Linked DNA regions of Cricetulus griseus. The protein of the gene in region 5 interacts with the protein of the main gene of each other region in a pairwise test. Links are inferred from orthologs where the notes say so. Each region holds a gene or a part of one and is shown on either strand. Other genes may lie near its edges. The genes, in order: Snrpb2, Mettl17, Ubqln1, Mcm7, Pnma1, Lnx1 and Suv39h2.

Region 1 (3,500 bases), on a different chromosome or scaffold from region 5:
GCCTGCCCATCATTTTCAAATTCTACAAATGCAATGTCATGCCTCCCAGGTACCAAGCGAACTTCCTTGAAACCAGGGAACCTAGAAAAAACAAAAGCAATAAACACAGGCAAATGTAGAATAAATTTGTTGAACAACTTGCTATTGGTCTAGGAAAACTAATTACATTCAATCAAGAATCCCAAGTAGGATGGAGGCACCTGACATAAAATTGTACCATCAAGGAAATGCAAGAGTCCACACTAATTCCACAACTGTCAGTATGTCAAAGGTTTCCTGTTTTACCCATTTATTAGAATAACTCCAACAGAGAAAATCTATCCTTTTATTCGTTAAGCTTAGAGCTTAACTTAGGCTCCAATCCATGATTAGTACCAGACTAAATCAATGACCCTACAGAGAACTACTGCTGTGGGGTGACAAATGAACTCAGTCCATAGAAGCACTATTTGTCCTGTTAGAAGGCTACTACAAACAGATCTGTTTAGTAAAGAACTTACTGATTGAACAGCATGGATAACATCATCTCATTCGTCTCTTCTGGTAAATTATTAAGGAATAGGATGTAGTTTGGAGGATAATCAGGGACCTATTAGAAACAAAAGGCAAAATTAGCTTGTGAATATAAACTGTGCTGTGAAGTATTTAGCTGTGAGAAAAAATGAAAACTTCTTCAGAGAACTACATTGCAGCCTATATGCGCCTGTGAAATCTTAACACACTAAAACAAAAGCTAAAAACAATGACGCCAGAGATACAGATTAAAAACCTAACAATAGGGAAGCCAACATTCAAGTTAGGATACCCCAAGTATGGAAGGTTATGATTCTGTGAAAACAGTATTTATAGGTGAAGCACCAGTGCTAACTGGGGAATTCTGTGACCTGGAATACAGAATTCAAAGTCTAAAAACTGGAAAAGGCAGCAACATAGACCTCCTCAGCTCATCATTCTAAACTGAAACATTACTATTGACAATCACACCCTGCTGGCATCTACTCTGTGTGTTCCTGTGCATGCATGTACACAGTAAATGGCATGTACTTTGTCTACTAATATAAAACAAACATAACTGAGCAGAATATTAGACATTAAGTCACATGCTTGGCACCCCATCCTGAGTCTACAGGGAGTGTATAAAAGACTTACATATAAGAAGAAACTCTGTCTACTTGCTAATTACATGGACAGAAAAGATCAAGTGTAAAAAATAATTATTGAACAGCTCAAGATAGAGAATTAAGTGCTGGTATTTGTAAATTGACTACAAGTTCTGAAAGAGTTCAAGGAATAGAAAGAAAGATCATAAAAGATCAAGTATGGTGACAACTATCTGTAATCCCAGCACTCAGGAGGCTGAGACAAGAGGATTGAGAGGTTTGAGAGCAGAATCAAGACTGTCTCAGAGGGGCTAAGGGGTATTGGACAGCTCAGTGGTATAGCATTTGCCTAGCATAGGCTAGGCCCAGGAGTCAGTCACCAACACCAAAGGAGAGGAAAAAATCAAACGCACACAACTGTAATACTGAGAAGTTGTGGACACGTCAGACTGTATAATTTAGACTCTACTGAAAGCAGAAAACTTAAACACCATTGCCCACTATGAATCTGAGAAAGACAGGGCAGTGTCAGACACCTGGGGTGGAAACAGCCCCTCCCAAGGTCCTCTGACCACATGTCTGTGAAGTGCTGACAAGTGCCCGACCCAAACCAAAAGCCCTTTCTCAGGCCTTACACCCCCTGCCTTTTTGATCTTGTCCCCAATTCATGGAAAACAGAAATCAGGCCTGGTTTTGTTTTCTTCATCTTAGAGTAAGTTTCTTAAAGTGACAGGCAATTATGTCTTGTGAATGGATTTACTTGCTTTTGCAGACATGAACACTAATACTGCCATAATTTTTATGATCTTAAGGTAAGCACCCCATGAAGAAAAACATTACCTGAGGATTTGGTGCTGCGTTTCCTTGAGTATTAGCCGAATTTGGTGTTCCCTACAAAAAAGAAATTGGCATTAAGAAATGACTGAATTTCAGTCATGGTAAAAAGCAACTGCAATTTATAACATAAATCAACATTAAATTCACTGTAAAAGATACCTTATTCCATTTTACCTTAAGATGTCTTAAATTATTTACTTAGCTTGTAAATTGAAATGTATGTCTCTCAACTCTATAGACCACATCATAAACCTTAACATTTGAATTTTTATTTATTTATTTTGAGACAGGATTTTACTATGTAGTTCAGGTATCCTGGAATTCACTATTTAGACCAGGCTACCTGCCTCTGCCTCCCCAGTGCTGGGACTAAAGGTGTGTACCACCACACCTGGCTTTAACATTAAACTTTAAATGATGGAGAGACCAAGTGTGCTGTGTGGCTGAGGCAGGAGGGTCACAAGGGTGAACAGACTCCTCTAGGTTACAAGAGCTGAGATAGAGAAATAGAGATAAAGACAGAGAGAGTCTTACTTAAAAAAAAAAAAAAAAAAAAACCATAAGCATTATACAATCAAAATCACAGAATCAAAATGATTTAAATAATTAACTCAGAGGTAACTACTTTTTTGAATAATTTCACTTCTACTGGATTTCAATTTTTGCCTCTTGAATTGTTCAGAGGCTCTGAGTAAGATACTCATGATGAAGAGACTGCATATGATTTATAGGAAGAATTTAAGAAAAATACCAATAAGTAGGGTTTTAGATAAAGATGTCAAAAACAATATGTAAATCAGATTAGTACTGTTTATTGCAAATCTCTAAGTGTAAAGGCTGGTATTATAAATTGTTCCTTAAATATAAACCTAGAATTTTAGAATTTTGTTATCCCAGCTTCTTAAAACTTCATTCATCACTCCTCCATCTCTACAACTGGATTCCAGGAGTTCGGCTCAGTCAAGACCATGCTGGGAAAACCCACAGGAACAGTTGACCTTAGCTAGTGGGAATTCATGAACCTCAGTTTGACAGCTAGGGAACCAATATAGGACCAAACCAGGCCCCCTGAATGTGGGTGTCAGGTAGGAGGACTAGGCAGTCTATGGGGCCCCTGACAGTGGAACCAGGATGTATCCCTAGTGCACAAATGGACTTTGGGAGCCCATTCTCCATGGGGGGAAAGTCTCTTAGCCTAGACGCACAGGGGAGGGCCTAGGCCCTACCCCAAATGACTTGACAGATTTTTGATGGTCCCTCATGAAAGGCTTCACCCTCCCTGAGGAGTGGATGGGGGATGGGATGGGGGGGTCAATGGGGGGAATGGGAAGATGGGAGGCAGAGCAAACTTGGACTGATATGTAAAATAAGATTGTTCTAATTTAAATAAAATTTATACATATATGCATATGTATGTATGTATTTATGTATGTATGTATATATACACATATATAAAACTTCACCTTTAGCAGGGTGGTGGTGGTGGTGAAAGCATTTAATCCCAGCACTGGAGAGGCAGAAATCTCTGTGAGTTTGAGGTCAGTCTGGGCTACAGAGCCAGTT
Region 2 (2,210 bases), on a different chromosome or scaffold from region 5:
GCAAAGTAAGTTTTTGAAAGGAGTGAGCAGCACCCATCTCTGAGGTGCTTAACTGCAGTCTGCAGGGTGAGCTCTGTCAAGACATGAATATGCATAGCTCCCAGGGCAACAGGTACTGTGCTGGGGGTTTGACCTAGAAACTCTCATTTGCCAACCACTTTGCTGTATCATGAGTCACCATTACAGATGTGGGACAGCCACCAGCTCCAAGGCAGTAACAGTAACCTTACGACAGAAAGGGGAAGGACTGAGGACAAGGAACCTCACCTGAAGGACCAGGTTCCTGGCATCCATGAGAAGATGGTGCCCAGCTTTTGTTCCGTTCTCCACCAACACCTGTTTACAAACAGAGGAAATAAGCAGGCGCTCTGAATCCCAAAGCAAATGCCAGTAGCGCTGTCAGGACACTGGCAGGGAAGTGGGCATTGTGTGAAAGGTGGATACCCTGAGGAAGTGCAAAGAGCTATAAAAGAGAAAAAACACTATGTGATAACCAGAGGACAAGGCACAGAACCACAAAGCTGCTTTAAAACTTGAGGGGGAAAGGATTTCAACTCACCAGAAAATGGCTTGTCTTACGCCACAAGTTCCGAACTACCTCAACTCGGTCAGCCTTGCTGGGTAGTTCACTGAGGGCGAAGGCTGACACGACCACATCAAACTGGACCTGAGGACCAAGATAAGGGACAAACAGATCTGACATCGCCCTATCCAAAAGCACAACAAATTCCTAGCCTCTAAATCCTCCTGACCCCAAGATATCTCATTATGTATTCCAGGTTGAACCTGAACCAATGGTAATCCTCCTGCCTCAGCTCCTGAGTCCTGAGATTATGGGTGTCTTAAATGTCTTCTATTGCTTCTTTTGTCTTCTAACACACAATGGTGGGTTTCAAGGCTGAAACCACAGCTGTCCACCTGCCACACTAGATCTGAGAATAACTTACTTGCTACTTGCCTTGGGTGACACAGGTAGAAACTGTCTGAAAAAGACACCTGGGATACAGGGCTTCCCTGATTCTGAACCACCTACGGAAGAAAGATGTGGCAGCAAAGACAGAACATAAACTTTATAGCCAAAGTTTACACTCAGTGAAGAGACATTCCTCAGATAACCCCAGCTGAGAGGTGCAGGACTGTAATTAAAAACGTGGCCTACTAATCCCATCCAACCAACCAGAGTCCCATAAAGGCCTCTAATATTGTCTCACTGTAATACTGGAAGGAGCCCAGATTATCTCAATTAATTAATTAATTAATTTTGGCTTTTTGAGACAGGGTTTCTCTGTGTAGCTTTGGAGCCTATCCTGGCACTCGATCTGGAGACCAGGCTGGCCTCGAACTCACAGAGATCTGCCTGCCTCTGCCTCCCGAGTGCTGAGATTAAAGGCATGAGCCACCAACGCCTGGCCGATTATCTTAATTTATAACTCTCTCCTCTACATCCCAATAAAATTCTTTCCTAACTCCCTCAACTTTTGGAAATCCCTGGATTAGAGCTTGGTCTCACCTTTTAGTAGCTTTTCAGCCAAACCCAACATGGCTGCTGAACTGTCCACACACACATATTCACGGAGGCTCTGGCCCCAAGTACTGTGAGCAGCCCTGAGATGGCAAGATGAAAACCACCAATTTTTATGACACACAGTCATTCCTTTTTTTTTTTAATGATTTATTTATTTATTATGTATACAGTTTTGGCATGCTAGAAGAGGGTACCAAATCTTACTATAGATGGTTGTGAGCCACCATGTGGTTGCTGAGAATTGAACTCAGGACCAGTGGAAGAGCAGCCAGTGCTCTTAACCTCTGAGTCAGTCATCTCTCCAGTCCCGACACGGTCATTCCTCTAAGAAACCCACCTGCTCTCAATCCCGCCCCTGGGGAATCAGGGCATTACATTAAAACAGATAAGCTAACAGTGTTATTTTATGTTCTTGGTACATTTACAACTTCTGAAATAAAAGGCAGATGATTAAAAAAAAACAAAACTGACTTGTAGACAATTTTTTTTTTTCTTTCTTCAAGACAGGGTTTCTCTGTGTAGCTTTGGAGCCTATCCTGGTACTCGCTCTGGAGACCAGGCTGGCCTCGAACTCATAGAGATCACCTGCCTCTGCCTCCTGAGTGCTGGCATTAAAGGAGTGTGCCACCAATGCCCGTCGACAAAAAATTTTTGATTGGCATGTAAAATCTATTCCCTACACTAA
Region 3 (4,169 bases), on a different chromosome or scaffold from region 5:
TAGTAAATATCAAACCTACTAAATTCTATAAGAAAAATTAAGTTACAAAATGGTAGACCTTGTCTTGTGCTACAAATAGTTTTATATTTTTTTTGTACATGTTTCTAAGTCTGCTCCCCTGACTCACTCAGCAGTTTGATGTGTTTTCCGTTTGTGGTACAGGGGTAAGCTTTCAACTTTCATCACATTTTCTGTTTCCACAGAAAACAGAGAAAGCTTTAAACATTAAGCAATATCAGAGTAAGTTACTTTAGGAAGGTTTTACTTTTACCCATTAAATCATTTTTAGTTACAGCATAGTGAAATATAAACTTCTACGGAATTTAAAACTTTAGTGTCACTCTTTAAAAAAAAATCTTACAAATCTTCACATAAATAATTTTTTCATTTATTATATTTCTAAAGTCCTGAAATAAAATGGGGAAGCTGTCAGGATGGAAATTTAAGCTGGGAATCTTAGACTCAAGAGCTTCATGATTTATTATCGCTACACATTCATTAAACAGCTACAATAAAAAATAAAAACAAACAAACAAAAAAACCTTGTACATAGCAAATATTAGCAAGGATACAGAACAAGAGAAATACACACCCATATGCTGTTGGTTGTGTCTTATAAAACTAAACAGAACTGGCCAGATGAGGTGGCGCAAGCCCTCAATCCATCCCAGCACTTGTGAGATCCAAGTCAGCCTGGTCTACAAAGCAAGTTCCAGGACAGCTGGGGCTACATAATGAAACACTGTCTCAAAATAAAACAAACAAAATAGCAGGGCATGCTGGCACAGGCCTTTAATCCCAGCACTAGGGAGGCAGAGGCAAGTGGATCTCTGAGCTGGACTATAGAGTTCCAGGACACCCAAGGCTGTTTCACAGAGAAACTCTTGTCTTGAAAAACCAAAACAGCACCACAACAAAACTCAAAAAGTAAACAGAAGCATTCTAATGCAGATAAAGGCATATATTGTCAAAATGATTTATATGCGACTGTTCACAGCAACTACAATTGAGAAAGACCCTGGACAGTAGATTGTGGCATATGCATGCTATGGAAAACCACAGAGCAGTTAGGTACTGAGCTGGGGACATGGGTCAGTGGTAGAGTGGAGCCTGTGCCTAGTATGCAAACATCTGGGGTGGGAGGGGTACAAACATTCACAAGGATGAATCTCAAAAATATGCTGAAGAGGGAAAGAAAAAAAGTCTTTCCCAAAAGATTTCATTATATACAACTCTGCGTATGTGAACTTCTGGACAGGCAAAATCAATCTCTGGTGGGGGAAAAAAAAATCCCCACGGGGGTGACAAAGAGTGACTTCTTTAAAGAGAAGGTGAGACAAAAGCTTTCAAGTCAGCTCTAACAGGCCACACCTAGTTGTGTGCTTGGCTGGCACAGGTGTAGATGGGTTTGTGAAAACTGGCTAAGGCACCCACGTGCACATCAAATTTATGTGGAATAAATTTCCACAACAGTGGTTTTCAAGTTAACTAACACGCACACGGCTTACGTGCCTTGTAAGGTGATACCGATATCGGTATTTACACCTTAAAAATGTATTTTAGAAATAAGGGACGCATAACACAGCAAGTGCAGGAAAATGTCAATCGTGGGTGAGGCACACACATGCTGGAAAACACAAAGACGTTCAACCTTTTACAGCAGCGTTAACAAGGAATGGTGATTCAGTCAACAGTAGTTCCCTCAGCTGATGCCACACACCCTCCTGTTTCACAAAAAAAAAACAAAAACAAAAAAAAAAAAAAAAAACGACTTCACCTTTGGAACTAGATAAACGTTCAGAGAACCTAAAGGCACATTCCAGTGCCTGTTAATTGCGTCCTCGCACAAAACCGTCCACGATGTTGAGACTGTCAACAATCCGAGTGCTCTAGAACGTGCTAAACAGATAAATCTGCTAACTTTTACCAGGGGCTCTTAATTAGCTGCAAAATTTGCTTTCCCTGAACGGGATTTAAAGCGATTATTTGTTTAGTAAGACTCCCCGTTAACACCAATTCTGTTTTCTTGCGTCCGGCGGCAACCACCTAACACCCCGGCAGGTAGGTATGGCTCTCGTCCCCCTGGAGTCGAACAATAACCTGCCCCGTGACGGGCGGGCGAGCCGGCGAGCGGGCGAGCGGCTGGGCGATGACGAAGGTTATTGAGACAGAAACAGCGAGTCGTCCGTGAATCAAAGTCTTTGACTTTTCTCCCTCGGGCGTGAGCTTATCACCAGGCTGACTGAAAGCGATCTCCACGTCACAATTTTAAATATATATGTATATATATAATAGCGTATATATAATAAAAGGCTGAAAGGTGTGGGGGGGACACACAACACAGAACGCAGCCTGCACGTGCTCCTCACCCCCAAATCTCTGCGATTCGCCGGCAGGTGAAACAATGACCCCCACCGGGCCCCGCCCGCCTCACCTCACCGCCCCGCCGCCCCGCCAGCCGGGCCACAGAGGCCGAGCGAGCGCCGCCCGCGCCCTGCCCGCCCGCTCCTTTGTCAGGAGCCGAGGCCCGGAGCTCGGCGGCCGCCGCTCGCCCTCCCCCGGCCCCGCAGAGCCCCGCAGAGCCCCGCAGGGCCGGGCCCGGCCGCCCTCCCCGCCCCGGCGCCCCGGCGCCCCGGGGCCTCACCTGCTGGACCGAGCTGTCCTCGGGCACAGCGAACTCCTCCTTCTCCTTGGGCGTCTTCACCGTGACCTTCATGATCTTGGGCTCCGCGGGGCCGCCGTCGGCCGCGGCTGCGTCCTGCGCGCCCGGGGGGCCGCCGCTCTCGGCGCTCTCGGCCATGGCGGTGACTCAGGCGACCGGGACCCTGCGGGCTGCGGCCGGCTCGGCGCGGCGCGGCGGAGCGGAGCGGGCACGGGCTGCGGCGGGGCCGCCGAGGGCGCGCGGGCACGGGCTGCGGTGCGGTGCGGTGCGGTGCGGGCCCGGGCGGGCGATCGATGGCTCGGCTGCCGTCTCCGCGTCGCCGCGCCGCCGCCGCCGCCGCCGCTTCCTCCTCCCGCACCTCCCCCACGTCCGTCGCCGGCGCCGCGCAGGGCACGCTGGGTAACGCGCTGGCCGCCGCGCCGACTCAGGGGCGCGGGGCACGCCGGGAAGCCGAGTCCTCGCCCGCCTCACGCCTGCCGCCGCCGCGCGCCGCCGCCGGGCTGACGAGGGGCGCGGGCTCCTCCGGCTCCAAGGCAGCCGCGGCGGCGGCAGGGGGAAGGGGACAGCGAGTTAACTCGGTTCGCTTCATCGCCCCCGCTGCGTCGGGAGCCGCTCCCCGGGGTCTCTGCGGGGCGCCGCCGCGGCGCCCTGAAATGACGTCACGGCCGGCGGCGAACTTGCTGGAAGCGGCCTGGCCCGCTGGGCCTGCGCTCCCGGTGTCCCCCGACCCGGCCCCGGTGGCCGGCGGCCCGCGCGGGCACTTGGTTCTGAGGAGCGCAGCGTGTGCCCGGGCGGAAGGGGCTGGGGCCGCCCGCCCGGCTCTGGGCCCCGCTGGAGCTGCGCCACCGCGGGCGGGCGCGGAGACGGGAACGGACGCGGGGCAGCGCCAGCGCCAGCGCCAGCGCGGGGCCCACAGCCCGCAGGCGTGGGTGCAGGGAGGCCGCGGCCCCGTCCCCGGAGCCAGGCCGGACACACGGCCGCCCTGCTCCGCCTTCCACGCTGTGCGCGGCAGACGCGGGTGCCCAGGGCGGGCCGCTCCACGGGTGGGCTGCAGCCTGGGGCTCGTGTGCGCCTCCAGGACGCGGTCCAAAGTTACTGCGCCCCCCCCCCCCCAGGCCCGAGGTGCCCTCCGGGGTAACCCCAGTGGAGAACGTAGGTCCAGTTAAGTTATTTCCGTTTCAGCCGTGACCCCCACGCCATCCATAACTTGCGATACATTGTGGCACTTGGCACACTAGCTGGTGCTGCACCAAGGTGAGCGCTGACAGAGCACCGTGACCCAAATACGCAAAGACATCCCATATTTTTGCTCTTAGGCCATCGAACCCTTTTCCGTGATTAACTGCTGTTGCATAAACACGTCTTAGCAGAGCCCTTTGAAATCTGGGTCAGAGTTGCGGCGGCGGTGTAAATTGCAAGACGAGGTATCGGTGGATATCACTTAGTGCCTGCCAGCATTGTTCAGCGACAGGAAGCGTTTACAAGGCCTATGTCTAGGTACGAGACG
Region 4 (2,519 bases), on a different chromosome or scaffold from region 5:
CCCTGTAGCAGAGCAGAAATGATTCTTGTGATTGTAAGGGGCTTTTGCTTTCCTGTTTCCTGTTTCTTGTCTAGATCCAGTCTCCCACCTTCATGCCTTTGATAATGTGTCCCAGCCAGGAGTGCCAAACCAACCGCTCAGGAGGGCGGCTTTACCTGCAGACTCGTGGTTCCAAATTTATTAAATTCCAAGAAATGAAGATTCAAGAACATGTGAGTTGGGCGATGTGAGCCCTGCAGTGGGTTAGAAATTGGCAGAACGATGAGTGAAGAGCTAGGGAAGAGAAGTCATTTATAGTGCAATACGATCGAGGTTAAACTGGAATTTTTCAGCCGGGCAGTGGTGGCGCACACCTTTAATCTCAGCACTTGGGAGGCAAGACAGGCGGATCTCTGTGAGTTTGACACCAGCCTGGTCTACATGAGTGAGTTCCAGGACAGCCTCCAAAGCCACAGAGAAACCCTATTTCAAAAAAACAAACAACAACAACAAAAAAAAGAATTTTTCATGCTTTTAGACAGGAAGTCAAAATGTGATTTAATTGAAATTTTCTGGTTATATTGGGATGAGGGTAAGCACTCAACTTCCTGAAGTCTTCTAAGTTGGGCTGGCTGAGTCTTAACCATGGAATGGGCTTCTGGTGCATATTCAGGTCAGCTCCCTGTCTGCCTCACTTTTCTCCTTGTCTCATTTGTTCCCTGTTCTGTCCCCCAAAATGCCTAGAGTGATCAAGTTCCTGTGGGAAACATCCCTCGTAGCATCACAGTGGTTTTACAAGGAGAGAATACAAGGACTGCCCTGCCTGGTGACCATGTCAGTGTCACTGGTATCTTCTTGCCAGTCCTGCGTACAGGGTTCCAACAGATGGCACAGGTGAGGGCTTTTTCAAATGAGGAAATAGTTCCCTTTCCACCTTGCCCACCTGCTTACTCTCTTCACACCTTTAGAAAAGTAAAACCAATGACGTGCAACTTGTGGTTGTGAAAAAGTTCTTAGACGTTCTGGTTATGGACAGTTTAAAGGGAAGCCATTCTTCTGCCCAGGGTTTACTCTCAGAAACATTCCTGGAAGCCCACCGGATTGTGAAGATGACTAAGAGTGAGGATGATGCAGCTGAGGCTGGAGAGCTGAGCGGGGAGGAACTAAAACAGATTGCAGGTGAGGGGCTACAAAGTCAGGTTGATAGCTGAGTGTAACCCTAGCTTTTGTCCTGAAGAAAATGCTATGGCTTGACTTTTGCAGAAGAGGACTTCTATGAAAAGCTGGCAGCTTCTATTGCTCCAGAGATCTATGGGCACGAGGATGTGAAGAAAGCACTGTTGCTGCTCCTGGTGGGTGGTGTGGACCAGTCTCCTCAAGGCATGAAGATCAGGGGTAAGAAGGGCAGCAGAGATGGGATGGGGAGTGTTAGGAGGGTCAGAAGGGATCAGTCACATCAACACTAGTTGATGACTTGGCTCTGTGGTCTTAGAGGAATAATATGGAGTTTGAGAGGGGAACTGGGTCTCATGTCAAATGCTCTTCCCATTTTCCAGGAAACATCCACATCTGCCTTATGGGAGACCCTGGTGTGGCCAAATCTCAGCTCCTATCTTACATCGATCGTCTGGCCCCCCGAAGTGAGTATGGGCAGGGACAGAGCTTAGTGTTTGTTTGAAACACTAAAGCCTCTTGAAGGCATGAGGCAGTGGTTCCTTTCTTCAACAGTCTGCTGTTTCTCATTGCAGGTCAGTATACAACAGGCCGGGGCTCCTCTGGAGTGGGGCTCACAGCGGCTGTACTGAGAGACTCTGTGAGTGGGGAACTGACCTTAGAGGGTGGAGCCCTGGTGCTGGCTGACCAGGGTGTGTGCTGTATCGATGAGTTTGACAAAATGGCCGAAGCTGACCGCACAGCCATCCATGAGGTCATGGAACAACAGACCATCTCCATTGCCAAAGCAGGGATTCTCACCACACTCAATGCCCGGTGCTCTATCCTGGCTGCTGCCAACCCTGCCTATGGGCGATACAACCCCCGCCGAAGCCTGGAGCAGAACATACAGCTTCCTGCTGCTCTGCTTTCCCGATTCGACCTTTTATGGCTGATTCAGGACCGGCCTGACCGAGATAATGACCTCCGGTGAATAAAGTACAATACCCATAGAGACAGCCCGTTTTAGTGCTTTGGGGGGAGGAAGGTAAAATCAGAAAGCCACTCAATTTTTCCACAGTTCCTAGGGAGATGGAAGGTTGGGGCTGAGATGCTAAGGTTTTCCTGGGAGGCCTGTCTCTGCTGTGCTATGGCAAAGAGGTAGGGCTAAGATGGGGGGTCCTCAAGGTATATAGCTCTTAGTTTCGCCTGTGTTCTCTCTAGGTTGGCCCAGCACATCACCTATGTCCACCAGCACAGCCGGCAGCCCCCTGCCCAGTTTGAACCTTTGGACATGAAGCTTATGAGGTAGGGGTAGGGAGTGAACCCAGGTCTCAACTTTGTAGCCTAGCCATACAAGGCAGAGGGCATCATCAGAAGTTTTTTTT
Region 5 (4,258 bases):
GCCGGAGCTAGATAGTGAGACTGTATCTAAAAGAAATAGCTGGGTGAGGTGGCTCACACCTGTAACCCTAGCACTGTGGAGGCTGGAGGCAGGAGGATTGCTACAAGTTTGAGGCCAGCCTGGGCTACAGAGTGAATTCCAAGCCAGCCTCAGCTAGCTATCGAGTGGGACCGTGAAAAAGAAACAAAACAATAACCGAGGAACCGGCAACACAAGAATGTGTAGGTGATATTGCAATTTAAGCTCATAGCAAGGAGATTAAAAAATTTTTTGACATGAGCAAAAATGTGCAGAGAAAAAATGTGCAGAGCTAAGTTACACTGAAAATTTTTTATACATGTCAGGAAAAGCAAGATGAGAATTTTCACATTTTTATTTGTATACATCTATTTGATAACTTCAAATTTAGAACACTTAGCATCAACATGACCAATAATTAAATGACAAATAATTCATGTGGGGAAAATGTAGCTTGTTTATGGAAATTCCCCCTGACTTATATTTGTATCTTACACCATGAAAAGTAGGTTGTGCCTCTTCATAAAAATCACATTTTTCTAACTTGCCAATTTTAATCCTAGAGTACTTTGCTGGTAAACTGGTTCTGATGTTGAGCCGTGAGGAATGAGAAATCTGAATTTTCAAAATGAGCAGTATCATCTAACAGACTCATATTCTTCCCATGTATATAAATTAGGGACAATGTACAGTAAAACTATCCACAATATTAGTAACAAATGTCAGTCTGTACCATACAGCCTGTGAAGCAGGCTTGCACTTTCACAATCATCCTGACAGGAAGTGTCTCAGCTTCACATTTTTCACAACTGTCAAAGATGTCACTAGGAGGGCTTGCATCAAGCATTCATTTTAGGCAGTATGAACCACCTCTACTGTTGCAGCCCTGGCCAATCACGCAATTCTGTGACTGCTACACAAATACGCAGGCCTGACTCCCCTATCCCATCCCCCAGAAAACAAAACAAAAACAGGAGGCTAGGTCTTTACTATGAGAGGCAAGGCTTGTAAAACCGCACAGGGATAACAAAAGCAGCCAGACTGATCCAGGGACTCAGAAGTGCCCCTCCAGGCCTAGCTGCAAAAGGGCTGCCTCAGCTTCCTCTTCCTCCTCCTTGGCTTCCTCCTCTCGAATCTGCACCAGCAACTGGAAGAGGTTGGGTGCCGGTCGTTCCGCAGCCCCAGTCAGCCACAATTGCCTTCGGATGGCCCCACTGTGGTTGGCCCCGGCGATGACCTGCTCCAGGCGAGCCTGGTTCACGTTATCTTTATCAATGGCCCCCTTTTCCACTACCTTTTGTAGCAGAGGCTCCAGACGAATGACGTAAGATGACAACTTTTCCCCGGGGTTCTGGTAAGTGTTCAGAAATCTGACCTGTGTATCTCTAGAGCTCTCCACGCTCCCAAACACCTGCTCAAGAGCCTTCAGGCATTCCGCGGTGGTTATGGCTGGGTTGTTGGTCTTGAGGATGCGAATGACATCAGCAGCAGGGCCTCTCAAACTCTCCATCAACCGCCGTCTCTTTTCTATATCAGACACCTGCCATTCTTCTATGACCTCATTCGAGTGCTCCAGCCAGGAATCAAAGGTCTCCTCGCCAGGCCCGGGAATGTCCCTCCCAGAGAATAGCGTCAGCTTCTTATACCATATGGACTCAACAAGAGGTTGAATAACATTATCCAAAATATAATTGAGCATCTCTGCTGGCATTTCTGGGCCTGGAGCGGGAGCAGGGTTCTGAAACCCAAGCACACGAGCAACATCTTGCACAGTCCACCCTTCCCTAGCTAGAAAGAGGTGCAGCCTCTCCAGAAACTCCGCATCAGAAGTGGGGGGCTTAAAGAACACTTTCCAGAGCCCTCCTTTGCCTGGCATCTCTCTAGGGATCAGGGAGTAATCCACTTCCCCGGTGAGCTCTAACAAGGCTGCCTTCGCATTTTCTTCCCTCCAGAACATTCTCCCCAGTACTCGGTAGGGCACTTGGGGCATGGCAGCTTGGAGGGTCTCTTCGATTTCAGCCTCATCACAGTTCACAGGGATCCCCCAGACCAGCAGAGCTCTCTGAGAGTTCACATCCATTCCCCTGCACCAGTCTTCCAAGAGCGTCAAAGCCATTTCGCCCCACTATTAAGGGTGCCAGTTCTACAGACACCGACTGGACTGGCTCGCAGTGCTATAGGACCTAGGACAATACAACATGCCTCCCTCCCCCGGGTAGGCCAGGGGGCGACAAGCTTCAAGCAACCACAATTACCAGTGACACCGGAGTCCAGTCTCGTCCCTTCCGGGTCCCAAAGTCAGTAGTGTCAGGTGCCTCGGGGCACTCTGCCTATCGAATGTCGCCCTCTTTGGTCCGAGCAGGTGCGGGCTGGCCGCAGCTATTCGTGGCCTCACGGCGGGCAGGGGAGAAGCAAGGTTGGCGCAAGGCGGTGGGCTTCAGCTTCACGAGGGAGACGGCCGGGTGCGGTCGCGGGGTGTGGCAGCTCCCCCCCGCCGCTCTCGGGCCGGCCGGCCGGCGGTAGGCGCGGGCGTAGGGTCACGCGAGGCAGTGGCTGGGAAGACGCCGGGAGAGGCGGTACTCGGGTCCGGCGGCTGCGGCAGCAGGCGAGCACCGGGGACGGAGGCCTCAGGGAGGCGCGGAAGGCGGGAGGCCGGATGGAGGCAGCTCCGCTCAGCGTCTAGAGCAGCGCGCTCCCGCAACGGCCGCCGCCGTGCAGCTGCAGTGCAGGGCGGGGCCGGTCCGCTCGTCAGTGTCGCCGTGGCAACCGTATCCATGACGACGGGAGATGCGCGAGCTCCAGAGGATCTGGCGGTTGCTATGGTACCGAGGGGTTGAGGAGTCTATTTTGTGATGGCGCGCGCGCGCGCGCACACACACACACACGTATTTCCCAGCTTCTTTCTTAACAATAAATATTGCAAAGCATCGTTTTCTTTTTTTCTTAATCTAATTTTGCTGTGAATTTAAGTTGGCCTTATTGATACGCATCCACCACGACAGACTTGTCTGTCTCATGTTGCTCATCCAGCTTATGCATTCACTATGCAGCCCATGAAAACACTCAGCACTCTGACTTCTGCGTACCTCCTGACCACACACCACAGCTGCTGCTTGCTCCTCCCCAGGAAAGCAAAAGACAGAATGCCATCTCCAGGTTCCTGTGAGACTTACTATGCTTTCTTGCCTAAATTTTGTATATATATATATAAAAAAAACCAACAAAATGCTGCTGCTGCTACTTCTTTGTAGCCAGGCAAACTGCAAACACTTTCATTTCTTGATCTTACTGAGTATACAGGATAACAAAAGAGAATGCTTAAGGCTCAGAAAGGTAGGGTAAATTCTCTTCAAGCAAGGCCTGTCAATCCCAGCTGGCAAAAACATCCCTATAAATCAGGCGGGCCTTGGTGGCCCATGCCGTTAATCCCAGCACTCGGGAGGCAGAGGCAGGAGGAGCTTTGTGAGTTCAAGGCAAACCTGATCTATAAATTGAGTTCCCGGCCAGGCTCCAAAACTACACAGAGAAACCCTGCCTCAAAAAATCAAATAAATAAATAAACACACAAACCCCACCCCTATAAAGATATGGCATTGGGGGCTGGATAGAAGGCTCACTGGTTAGGAGCATTGGCTGCTATTCCAAAGGACCTGGGTTCAATTCCCCGAACCCACATGGCAGCTCACACCTGTCGGTAACCCCAGTTCCCAAAGATCTAACAACCTCACACTGATACACATGCAGACACAGAACACAAATGCAAATAAAATAAAAATAAACAAATCGTTACAAAAAAAAGAATATGGCGCCGGGCATTGGTGGCAAACTCCTTTAATCCCAGCACTCGGGAGGCAGAGGCAGGCGGATCTCTGTGAGTTCAAGGCCAGCCTGGTCTTCAGAGCAAGTTCCAGAACAACCTCCAAAACAATACAGAGAAAACGTGTCTCAAAAAAAAAAAAAAAAAAAAAAGGAAAGAAAAGAAAAAGAAAAACCAAGAATATGGCATTCAACAGTGAATTTTTTAAAATTTTTATTTAATAAAAGGTCTTAAGATACAGAACATTCAAAAGTAAATAAGTTACATAGGTACATTACAATCACAGCAAGATTCTCTTTAGTGTATTAATTTTTTTATAAAAAGCACACAAAAAATAAAATTTTCAGTCTGGTCTATCACAACTGTACAGCAAAAGAGGTAATATTTATATATATGTACACTATTTAATATGTAACAGTCTTT
Region 6 (3,500 bases), on a different chromosome or scaffold from region 5:
ACAGAAGGAGACTTGGTTAAAATATGACATACATTTGACTTAGGCTGGAAATCTGGTCCTTTATGGACAGGTTGCAAGCTGGGATTTAAACACACCCCCGACACCTTCCCCACTCCTGCTTGGATAGGAGACACCTGTTACCTCCCAAGTATGAAAATAGGACCTTGGCCTTTTAGCTTCATGAGTAGCACTTCTTGAAATGACAAAGTCCAGAGATAGCCCTTAGAGACATTAAAGTATACAGCTTTCCTAAGAAATAGCCTTTTGCAGGAGCTGCAGACACACTTGGCTGGGCCTCACCTTAGAAGCCATGTTCCTCTCCCCTGGGCCTGGGGACCACCGGCCATTGCTGATCTGGCCAGCTTCTAGAAAGATGTCTGGGCTGGGCTGTCGAACCTGGCGGGACACGATGAGATGAACACGTCTTTCACTGGCCTGGACAAGAGGACATCAAATTAGCCACTTCACAGACCTGGCTCCAGGGCCTTACCAGAGTACCCCTTTCATTTCTACTTTTAAATTTAATGGAAGAATAAAGTGTCAAGCATTTCTTTTCTTAGGCAGTGCCAGAGACTGAGCCCAGGGTCTCTGAGCAGGCTAGATAAAGTACTTGGTCATTGAGTTCTACCCCAACCCCTATAGATTTCTTCATTTGAAAAAGTGTAGTCAAAGATGGAAGGATATATATTTGAAAACAGATTTATTTTGTTCTTAATTATGTGTAGGTGTGCATGTATGCATGTATTATGTGGGCATGTACATGTGAGTGCAGTTGTCCTCTGAGACCAGAAAAGGGTATTGGATTTCCCTGAAGCTGGTGTACAGGTGGTTATAAGTCACAGGGTGTGGTGGCTGGGAATGGAACTCAGGTCCTTGGCAAGAACAGTGTGCACACTTAATCACCCATCCATCTCTCCAGCCCCCACTCTAGATTTTCTCATGTCAGTGCCCAGCTTCTACTGTGGCAAAAGCATAAACTATTTTCTTTAACTTGAAACCAGAGGGGTAAACATCGCTTCAAGGCAAAAACCTAAGAAAGGCCTGACTCACGCAAGCTTTTGAAGAGACACCATCAGGTCTTGCTAATGTACGTTTAGTGGCAAGCTCAGCTGCAGACAATCATGGCTGGAAGTCTTGCTGAATAGAGCAAGATGCATGGTGTGAAGTACACTACATCGATTCTAGCTCAATGGTCAGCAGTAAAGAGAAGCGGTTAGAGGCAGCAACCCTGACACTATAGAAATGAAAATACTGTGTCTGCAATCTTAGAGAGTCAGGCATTGAACCTTTGGAATGCAGGGATGACATTCAGACTAAAGCCATTACCTTGACCATTTTTAGTGACTATCACTAATTCTGATCCTTATGCACACTGGTACTTAGGCAGAAGATTTGGAATAGTAAATGTATTGCTTATTGGGAAGGTTCATTCCATGCAGTAAGTTACTCACTAGCTCTCCACCACAGGTCAGTTTCTCATATCCCTGACTGTGGGTGTCAGAAGCCAGACATGCCAAACCCCAAGGTTTCAGATCTGCAGGGCATACAGACAAGACCCTAGGCCTGAGGATCTCATAGGAACAAGGCTGATTACTGAAACTGAAATGGCAAGTGGATCCTCCCATCACTTTAGTGAAAAGTGGTGATGGAAGAGTCATGGCTCAATTTGGTTAGAAAGGTACCTGGGAAAAAGGTTTGGGAACCAAGAAGATGGAAAAATGTAAGGTCTGATAGTTGGCCTCGTTATTCCAGCTCTTGACTACTGACTGCAGTGGAAACAGACACAGATGAGCCTGTCTCTCCTGCATGGGCATGGGGTCATGGAGAAGAAAGATCATAAAAGAAAGACCAGGTAGTACCTGCTTGTCTCCATTAGCTCAGACAGTGGGAATCAAGATGTTTGCTTTTCTCTGGCTATGGTTTGAGTGTATGTATTTCCCTCATGTGTGGAAATCCTAACCCATGAGTGTTGGGAATCTCTGCTCCAGTTTCATTCCTCCCATTCCAGACCCAGCCCCTCAGAAAGCCCACCAAGGGTCAGCTCCTCCCCTGGGGCTGCTCATTACCACGCCTACAGGGTATTTAAGACCTTGTCACCCTACCTGCCATGTGATTTGTCTCCTGCCTTTTTGAGAGTCACCTGGGTGTTGCTTTGCTCTGTTTATTAAAACCTGATCTTATTAATTCAGTTTGATTTGGCTTATTGCATTGGCAGAGAATACCCAATAACTGGGGATCCAATACTTATCACTAAGTCATTTGGGGATGGAGATGGTTCTGTGGATAAAGGACCTACTGAACAAGCATGAGTACCATGTAAAGATGGAAGAGGTAGAAAGGGTCTGTAATTCTGGTGTCCCTATGATGAGGTGAAAAGCAGAGACAAGAGAAGCTGGCTGGCACATCGAATAGCAAACAATAAGAAACTTTCAAACAGTGTGGAAGGTAAGGACCAATACTCTAGGTTGTTCTCTGACCTCCACATGCCTCCTGTGGCATGACCATACCCACACTCACACACATGAATGCATGCATCACACACAGAGGTTTAAATGAGAGGAGGCATTTCCAGATACTGAGCCTGCCCATATCTTGATGGTTGGGATTGTAAGAAATGCATTTCTGTTGTTCATATTAATAAGGCAATCTGTTTATGGAACTTTGTTTCCATAGCAGTCCACGGAGACTAAGAAACTACTACTCTCACCTTTGTTTCCAGAGCACATAACTCCCTCTTCCCCTCAGGAACTAGGGCCTTAAGAACCAAGAACTCCGCCAATGCAGTTGGATCCTCACATTTGTCCAGCACTGACCAGCCCAAACCTTCCTTACAATGTTATCTCTGTTCAAAGGTTCTCTTGAAACTTGGGGGTCATCAGGTGGGTGGTTATAAATTAGACTAATTTTTAATCCAATTGTTGGGTATAGTAAGAATATTATAAATATCACAATGGATGGTCAGCTAGGTGAAATGTTCATTCCGTATTCATGGCAGAAAATGCTATCAAACAGCCCCACAGAGGAAGCTTGAATTTAGCCTGTTTTCCTTTATGCATAGCCCTAACTAATCCAGTCAGTGCTTGTGTGCCTTTCCTTTGCTAGTCTATCTTGAATTCCCTGGGGTCCCTTACCACATCTGAAGCTTGCATCAGAACAGAACATACACGAGTCTCCACATGTACTTAGGCACACACACACACAGAGCTCACAGGTAACACACCATGAAGAAAAGCTAACTCTGTTCAATTCCTGGAAGAGAGTGTTGCAGTAATTGTGCCTCTTCTCTGGATTGCAAGTTTCACTAAAAGGTTATCTTCAAGAACTCGGTGAAGCAGAACTCATGGGAAGATAAGTAACAATGAACATTTAGGTCAAAACCTCAATCACAGAACCCAAATTTTCTCTCTTATCTTTGGGGAAACTCCACTGTTGAGAAGGCTGTTGGCAGAGCTTCAGCTCTGAGCTGGGATTGTGTCCTGTCCGTCTTGGACAGTGAGCAG
Region 7 (4,215 bases), on a different chromosome or scaffold from region 5:
ATATAAATACCCTAAATATTCTAATGCAAGAGCACTTTATACTTCATAATCCCTCAGTGTTATTCAACAAAAATGATGACAATGCACAAAAGTCTATGACTTACAACCTTAAACAGAAAGAAGAGCTTTGTTTATTCTTAAGTCTATTTTTATGCTAGAGAAACATGAAATACTGCAGTGTGAATAGGTCTCTTTCAAGGGGCTAGATATTGCCTTACCTTTACTACCTTGTAGTCACACAAGTACTCCACCTCATAATTGTTTAGATTCCTTTTGGTGATTCCAATCGATTTACATGTGAGCTTTTCTTTTCTACATAATTCCTGAAGAGTATCAAGTGAAACTAGGCAAGGCACACACCAGGCTACAATAAGAAAATAGAATTCTTTACTAATAAAATAGCTACTAGGATGAAACAAAAACTTAAAAACTTCCCAACTGACAATTTTATAGTAAGAAACGAACATGACAAGAAGCCAATTATGTGTGTTTGAGAAAAAAGTTACGTGATAAAGATCTACTTTTGATGAATTGAACTTCTATCCTATTGTTCTATTGGCAAAGGCTAATTCTTGCTTGGCCACTTAAAATATTTCATGTCTAAGTTTACTTAAGATTACTATAAATGCAAAAATGAAAAGAGCTAAATTTTTTTTACTGTTCCATTATATTCTACACAGAATGTAACTGTTCTCTTAATAAACAGCTAAGACATATTATTAGAAATGTATCTAAAATATATTCTAAAACAATCACAATTTAAAAGTAACCTTTGCTTCTTTTAATCACACAGTAAGATTTTAAATCTGAAATATAGTTCTGTAGTTAAATCCATATCCTACTTTGCCCATTTCAGGAATACCACAAGTCTCATTTATTTTGCCCATGGTGAAATGTATTATCAACATGCATAAAATAGAAACATCTACTTTTCTATTTTATATTGTATATTGGGCTTTATAATGCCATTTCCTGGACTGTTTAAAGCCAGCAAGCAGTTACAAAACAGAAAACTCAAAGTAAATTATCCATAAACAAGAAAGTCAGACATACTAACAATAACCTTACACAGGCCAGAAATGAACTGTGTTCCATCCCAAATTTAAAATATAACTGCACAAATGATGTCTAGAAAATGTAAAACTTCACTGTACGTCTAATAGGGGAATCTAATACTAGATGATCAAAAGCCCTCCACCCTACTTGTTGGTGGGCCACCTAGCTACACAACTTTAGGAAGGGCTCAAGCTTTCTGGGTATCACATTCACTGAAAAAAAAAAAAAGAAAAGAAAAGAAAAGAAAAGAAAAAGTGAGAGTGGTGAAAAGAAGTGACCAAACAAAATGTATCATTAGTTCATCATGCTGTATTTAATAGTTCTTCAAGGTAGTAGGCAAACGTTTTGAGGTAGATTTCAGGGACAGGAGAACCTGACTGTTTTAACTTCCCCACATCCCTTCATCATCCTCCCCCGTTAGGACTTCATTAAAGGAAATTGTTAAGCATCATTTCCCCACTCCAATCAATGGAAAAGACTCGTATTTCTGGCACTCGTAAAAGGCAAAGTCTTTTCCTCAAATTTGCCAAAATACATTGTTTAGGTGTGGTGGTTTGGGGGTAGGACAGGTATAAAAACCGTCTTCTTAATCGCTTCCATCCAAAAATCTTAAGGCTGTTTTGTGTAAGGCTAATCTCCTTATGTTAATCATCTGTAAAGGAGAGACCTGTTGGTTATTATGTACCCAAGGTGTTTGTTTTAAATTTTTTACTCCTAGTTGAGAATCCAAAAACACAACCCTATAGCGGAGAGTGGTGTTGAATTCGGTAACACACGTATTCGAATGAAAATGTCATAATGACGACCATTATGTGTAAGTACGACGCATCTCTCAACAGAAATGCTACATTTTGAGCATTTCGGGATTTTTTTTTTCTTTTTTAATCTGCAAACCCTTGGTTTACAAAATTCCACAGCCTATAATGATGGAGAAAAAAAAGTTTCATTGTCCGGATTAGTTTATGACATCCCGCTTATAAAATCCTTCCACCACACCCCACCCCCGCAACACCTCAAGGAAGTCGAGTGACGGGGATAATAAAGTGTCACCATCTGAGTGGAGCAGAGGAAAAAGCTAGCTGGAGAACAACCTTTTTTTTTTTTTTTCACTCCAGAATGCTTTACTTTCAACACACACGCCGCCCCCCCGCACACCCACATAAATAACCCACAAGTTCCAGCCGGGCCCCCCCAAAGTTTCCAGGAGCTCAGGGCTGTGTGTGCAGACATCTACTTTCGAGGGGAGACACTTCGCAGCGGTGCCAGGCCGGCTCGTACGCGGGCAGCGCACCTCAGCCCGGCTCCCACCGCGCGAAGGTGGCGACCGCTAGGGCAGCGGCGCGCGTGCTTCCCGGCTCACCCTTCAGAGAGGCGGGGCGCGCACACTCGCCACCGAGGACCCGGGCCCGCGGGACTTTCGGAACCACGCTCGCACGGAGCCGGCGCGTCCCGGGCCCGTAGCCCGCCGCCAGCGTACGGCGCTCGGGGTGTCCGCTCGGCGGCGTCCCGCCCACATCGCCGCCGTCCGGCTGGGCTCGGGCCTCGGGAACGGCCCTGGCGGCCGGTGACACCGCTCTCCAGTCTCACCTCTCGGTGCCTCGGCTCCGGCCGCCGCCATCTTGCGGAGCTTTCATTCAAACTGGCGCGGTCAGCCCGAAGAGCTCAGCTGGCCAGACGCCCCGCCCCGGCCCGCGAGGGACTCCAGAGATGGGAGGCTGGAAGCAGTGTGGCGTCCTGACGTCAGTGGAGGTTGACCCCAGCCGTAGTAGCCACTGCGCATGCGCGGCACGTTGGGGGGGGCACAAAGGGGCGGGGTCACAACTAGCTCCTGCCGACAGGCCCCGCCCCTCCTGGTATGGTCCTCGCTTTGACTCTAAAGGCTGCATGCCAGGATTCCCTCCCTGTTCGGTGCTCTGAGTCTCGTCCCAAAGGCATGGCACGCACGTTATAAGATGCAAAATGTGCTGTGTGGGTTAGAGTGCACAGATAGCTACTTTCCTACTCTTGTTCCTTAGCGCTTGAACCCAAGCAAGCTTTTCCTTTCACTCCCCGCCTCTGCAGAGCAGGATCTCAAAATTGGATGCAGGTGGCCTCACTTTGGATCTAAGTGGTCTGTTTGGATCACACAAGGAGAGTCTGCTGAGTTGATATGGCCGTGCAGCAGCTGGATCCAAAGGAAGGCGCTGAGAGTTGTCAAAATAAAACCAACCCAGCCAACAGCTGAGCTTAATTAAAGCAAACTTACAAGGTACATTTACAACTAGGACTTACTTTATCCTCCTTAACAGCTTTAAGCTTTGCTCAGTTTTTAGCCATTTACACTCAGGGAGAATTGGGCCACTTATCATTTTCACACCATTGTGAATCTTGAAAGTTGTAAGGGAACCATTATACACAAAAGCCTTCTGTAATTCCATTGGTAAGTCACGTCAGTGCTAATAGCAAACGCACACTGCCTGTCTCCTCTCTATTTTCATTGCTATTACTGTTATCCACACCATCATTTCTCAGTCAAAGAAGTCTAACTGCTTTGACCTCTGCTATTGCTCCCCTTGTAGCCACTTCCCATGGAGCTAAAGTAGCTTTAAAACATAAAGTGAAACATAACCCTTCTCCAACTTTAAGTACTTCACCGCATAGCACATCTTCCGGTGCCTATGAGACCACCAGTGATTAGAAGTCTGTTTTTCTCACTTGCTTTGAACCATTCTCCCTTTTGCCCACTATGTTCTATGGCTTTTCAAATTTTCATATACTCAACTATTATACTTACACAATTCAAATACAACACACACAATTCAAATATAATAGGCATATTCAAAAATATTTTCATGTGTATCTCCTATGTGCCAGGCACCTGCTAAACAAGAAAGGAAACAGTGTCCTCTTGGAGTCTTTTTGGGGACAGGGCTCAAACTTGCTTTGTATGTGGGAATCACCTTGACTTCCTGGTCTTGCTTCCACCTTGGTGTGCTGGGGCCACAGGTGTGAGCCGACACTCCCTGCTCTAAATAAACACTTTAACCTGGAAATCGCTGTCTAGCCCAAAGGGCAAACTCTCCTCCGTTTCATGTGGCTATCTTCTTATTAGCTAGGTTTTAACTCAAATGTTACTTCTTCTGAGAGGCCTCTAAAGGCACTCTGTCTCTATCCCTGCTT

What was found.
Region 1: the proteins of Pnma1 (region 5) and Snrpb2 interact in binary tests that used the Homo sapiens proteins (3 or more experiments, as listed by UniProt). The two-hybrid records come from large-scale screens. The link is inferred for Cricetulus griseus from reciprocal best matches to the Homo sapiens genes PNMA1 and SNRPB2.
Region 2: the proteins of Pnma1 (region 5) and Mettl17 interact in binary tests that used the Homo sapiens proteins (3 or more experiments, as listed by UniProt). The link is inferred for Cricetulus griseus from reciprocal best matches to the Homo sapiens genes PNMA1 and METTL17.
Region 3: the proteins of Pnma1 (region 5) and Ubqln1 interact in binary tests that used the Homo sapiens proteins (3 or more experiments, as listed by UniProt). The two-hybrid records come from large-scale screens. The link is inferred for Cricetulus griseus from reciprocal best matches to the Homo sapiens genes PNMA1 and UBQLN1.
Region 4: the proteins of Pnma1 (region 5) and Mcm7 interact in binary tests that used the Homo sapiens proteins (3 or more experiments, as listed by UniProt). The two-hybrid records come from large-scale screens. The link is inferred for Cricetulus griseus from reciprocal best matches to the Homo sapiens genes PNMA1 and MCM7.
Region 6: the proteins of Pnma1 (region 5) and Lnx1 interact in binary tests that used the Homo sapiens proteins (3 or more experiments, as listed by UniProt). The two-hybrid records come from large-scale screens. The link is inferred for Cricetulus griseus from reciprocal best matches to the Homo sapiens genes PNMA1 and LNX1.
Region 7: the proteins of Pnma1 (region 5) and Suv39h2 interact in binary tests that used the Homo sapiens proteins (3 or more experiments, as listed by UniProt). The two-hybrid records come from large-scale screens. The link is inferred for Cricetulus griseus from reciprocal best matches to the Homo sapiens genes PNMA1 and SUV39H2.

The regions. Positions count from the first base shown.
Region 1 is NC_048599.1:35,869,397-35,872,896, forward strand, and holds part of Snrpb2 (U2 small nuclear ribonucleoprotein B''), read right to left. Parts: intron 1,992-3,500; coding exon 1,941-1,991; intron 590-1,940; coding exon 501-589; intron 82-500; coding exon 1-81. UniProt on the Homo sapiens protein: Involved in pre-mRNA splicing as component of the spliceosome. Associated with sn-RNP U2, where it contributes to the binding of stem loop IV of U2 snRNA.
Region 2 is NW_023276807.1:206,958,790-206,960,999, reverse strand, and holds part of Mettl17 (methyltransferase-like protein 17, mitochondrial), read right to left. Parts: intron 1,606-2,210; coding exon 1,511-1,605; intron 1,030-1,510; coding exon 959-1,029; intron 668-958; coding exon 560-667; intron 337-559; coding exon 268-336; intron 1-267. UniProt on the Homo sapiens protein: Mitochondrial ribosome (mitoribosome) assembly factor. Binds at the interface of the head and body domains of the mitochondrial small ribosomal subunit (mt-SSU), occluding the mRNA channel and preventing compaction of the head domain towards the body.
Region 3 is NC_048596.1:277,235,694-277,239,862, forward strand, and holds the start of Ubqln1 (ubiquilin-1), read right to left. Parts: upstream 2,801-4,169; coding exon 2,645-2,800; intron 1-2,644. Other genes in the region: translation initiation factor IF-2-like, read left to right, coding at 2,799-3,047, 3,091-3,828. UniProt on the Homo sapiens protein: Plays an important role in the regulation of different protein degradation mechanisms and pathways including ubiquitin-proteasome system (UPS), autophagy and endoplasmic reticulum-associated protein degradation (ERAD) pathway.
Region 4 is NC_048597.1:116,883,176-116,885,694, forward strand, and holds part of Mcm7 (DNA replication licensing factor MCM7), read left to right. Parts: intron 1-74; coding exon 75-212; intron 213-723; coding exon 724-873; intron 874-1,043; coding exon 1,044-1,158; intron 1,159-1,242; coding exon 1,243-1,374; intron 1,375-1,535; coding exon 1,536-1,619; intron 1,620-1,727; coding exon 1,728-2,121; intron 2,122-2,355; coding exon 2,356-2,439; intron 2,440-2,519. UniProt on the Homo sapiens protein: Acts as a component of the MCM2-7 complex (MCM complex) which is the replicative helicase essential for 'once per cell cycle' DNA replication initiation and elongation in eukaryotic cells.
Region 5 is NC_048598.1:119,613,430-119,617,687, reverse strand, and holds Pnma1 (paraneoplastic antigen Ma1), read right to left. Parts: upstream 2,801-4,258; 5' UTR 2,135-2,800; coding exon 1,073-2,134; 3' UTR 346-1,072; downstream 1-345.
Region 6 is NW_023276807.1:141,124,660-141,128,159, forward strand, and holds part of Lnx1 (E3 ubiquitin-protein ligase LNX), read right to left. Parts: intron 436-3,500; coding exon 301-435; intron 1-300.
Region 7 is NC_048596.1:220,775,487-220,779,701, forward strand, and holds the start of Suv39h2 (histone-lysine N-methyltransferase SUV39H2), read right to left. Parts: upstream 2,801-4,215; 5' UTR 2,675-2,800; coding exon 2,644-2,674; intron 365-2,643; coding exon 219-364; intron 1-218. UniProt on the Homo sapiens protein: Histone methyltransferase that specifically trimethylates 'Lys-9' of histone H3 using monomethylated H3 'Lys-9' as substrate.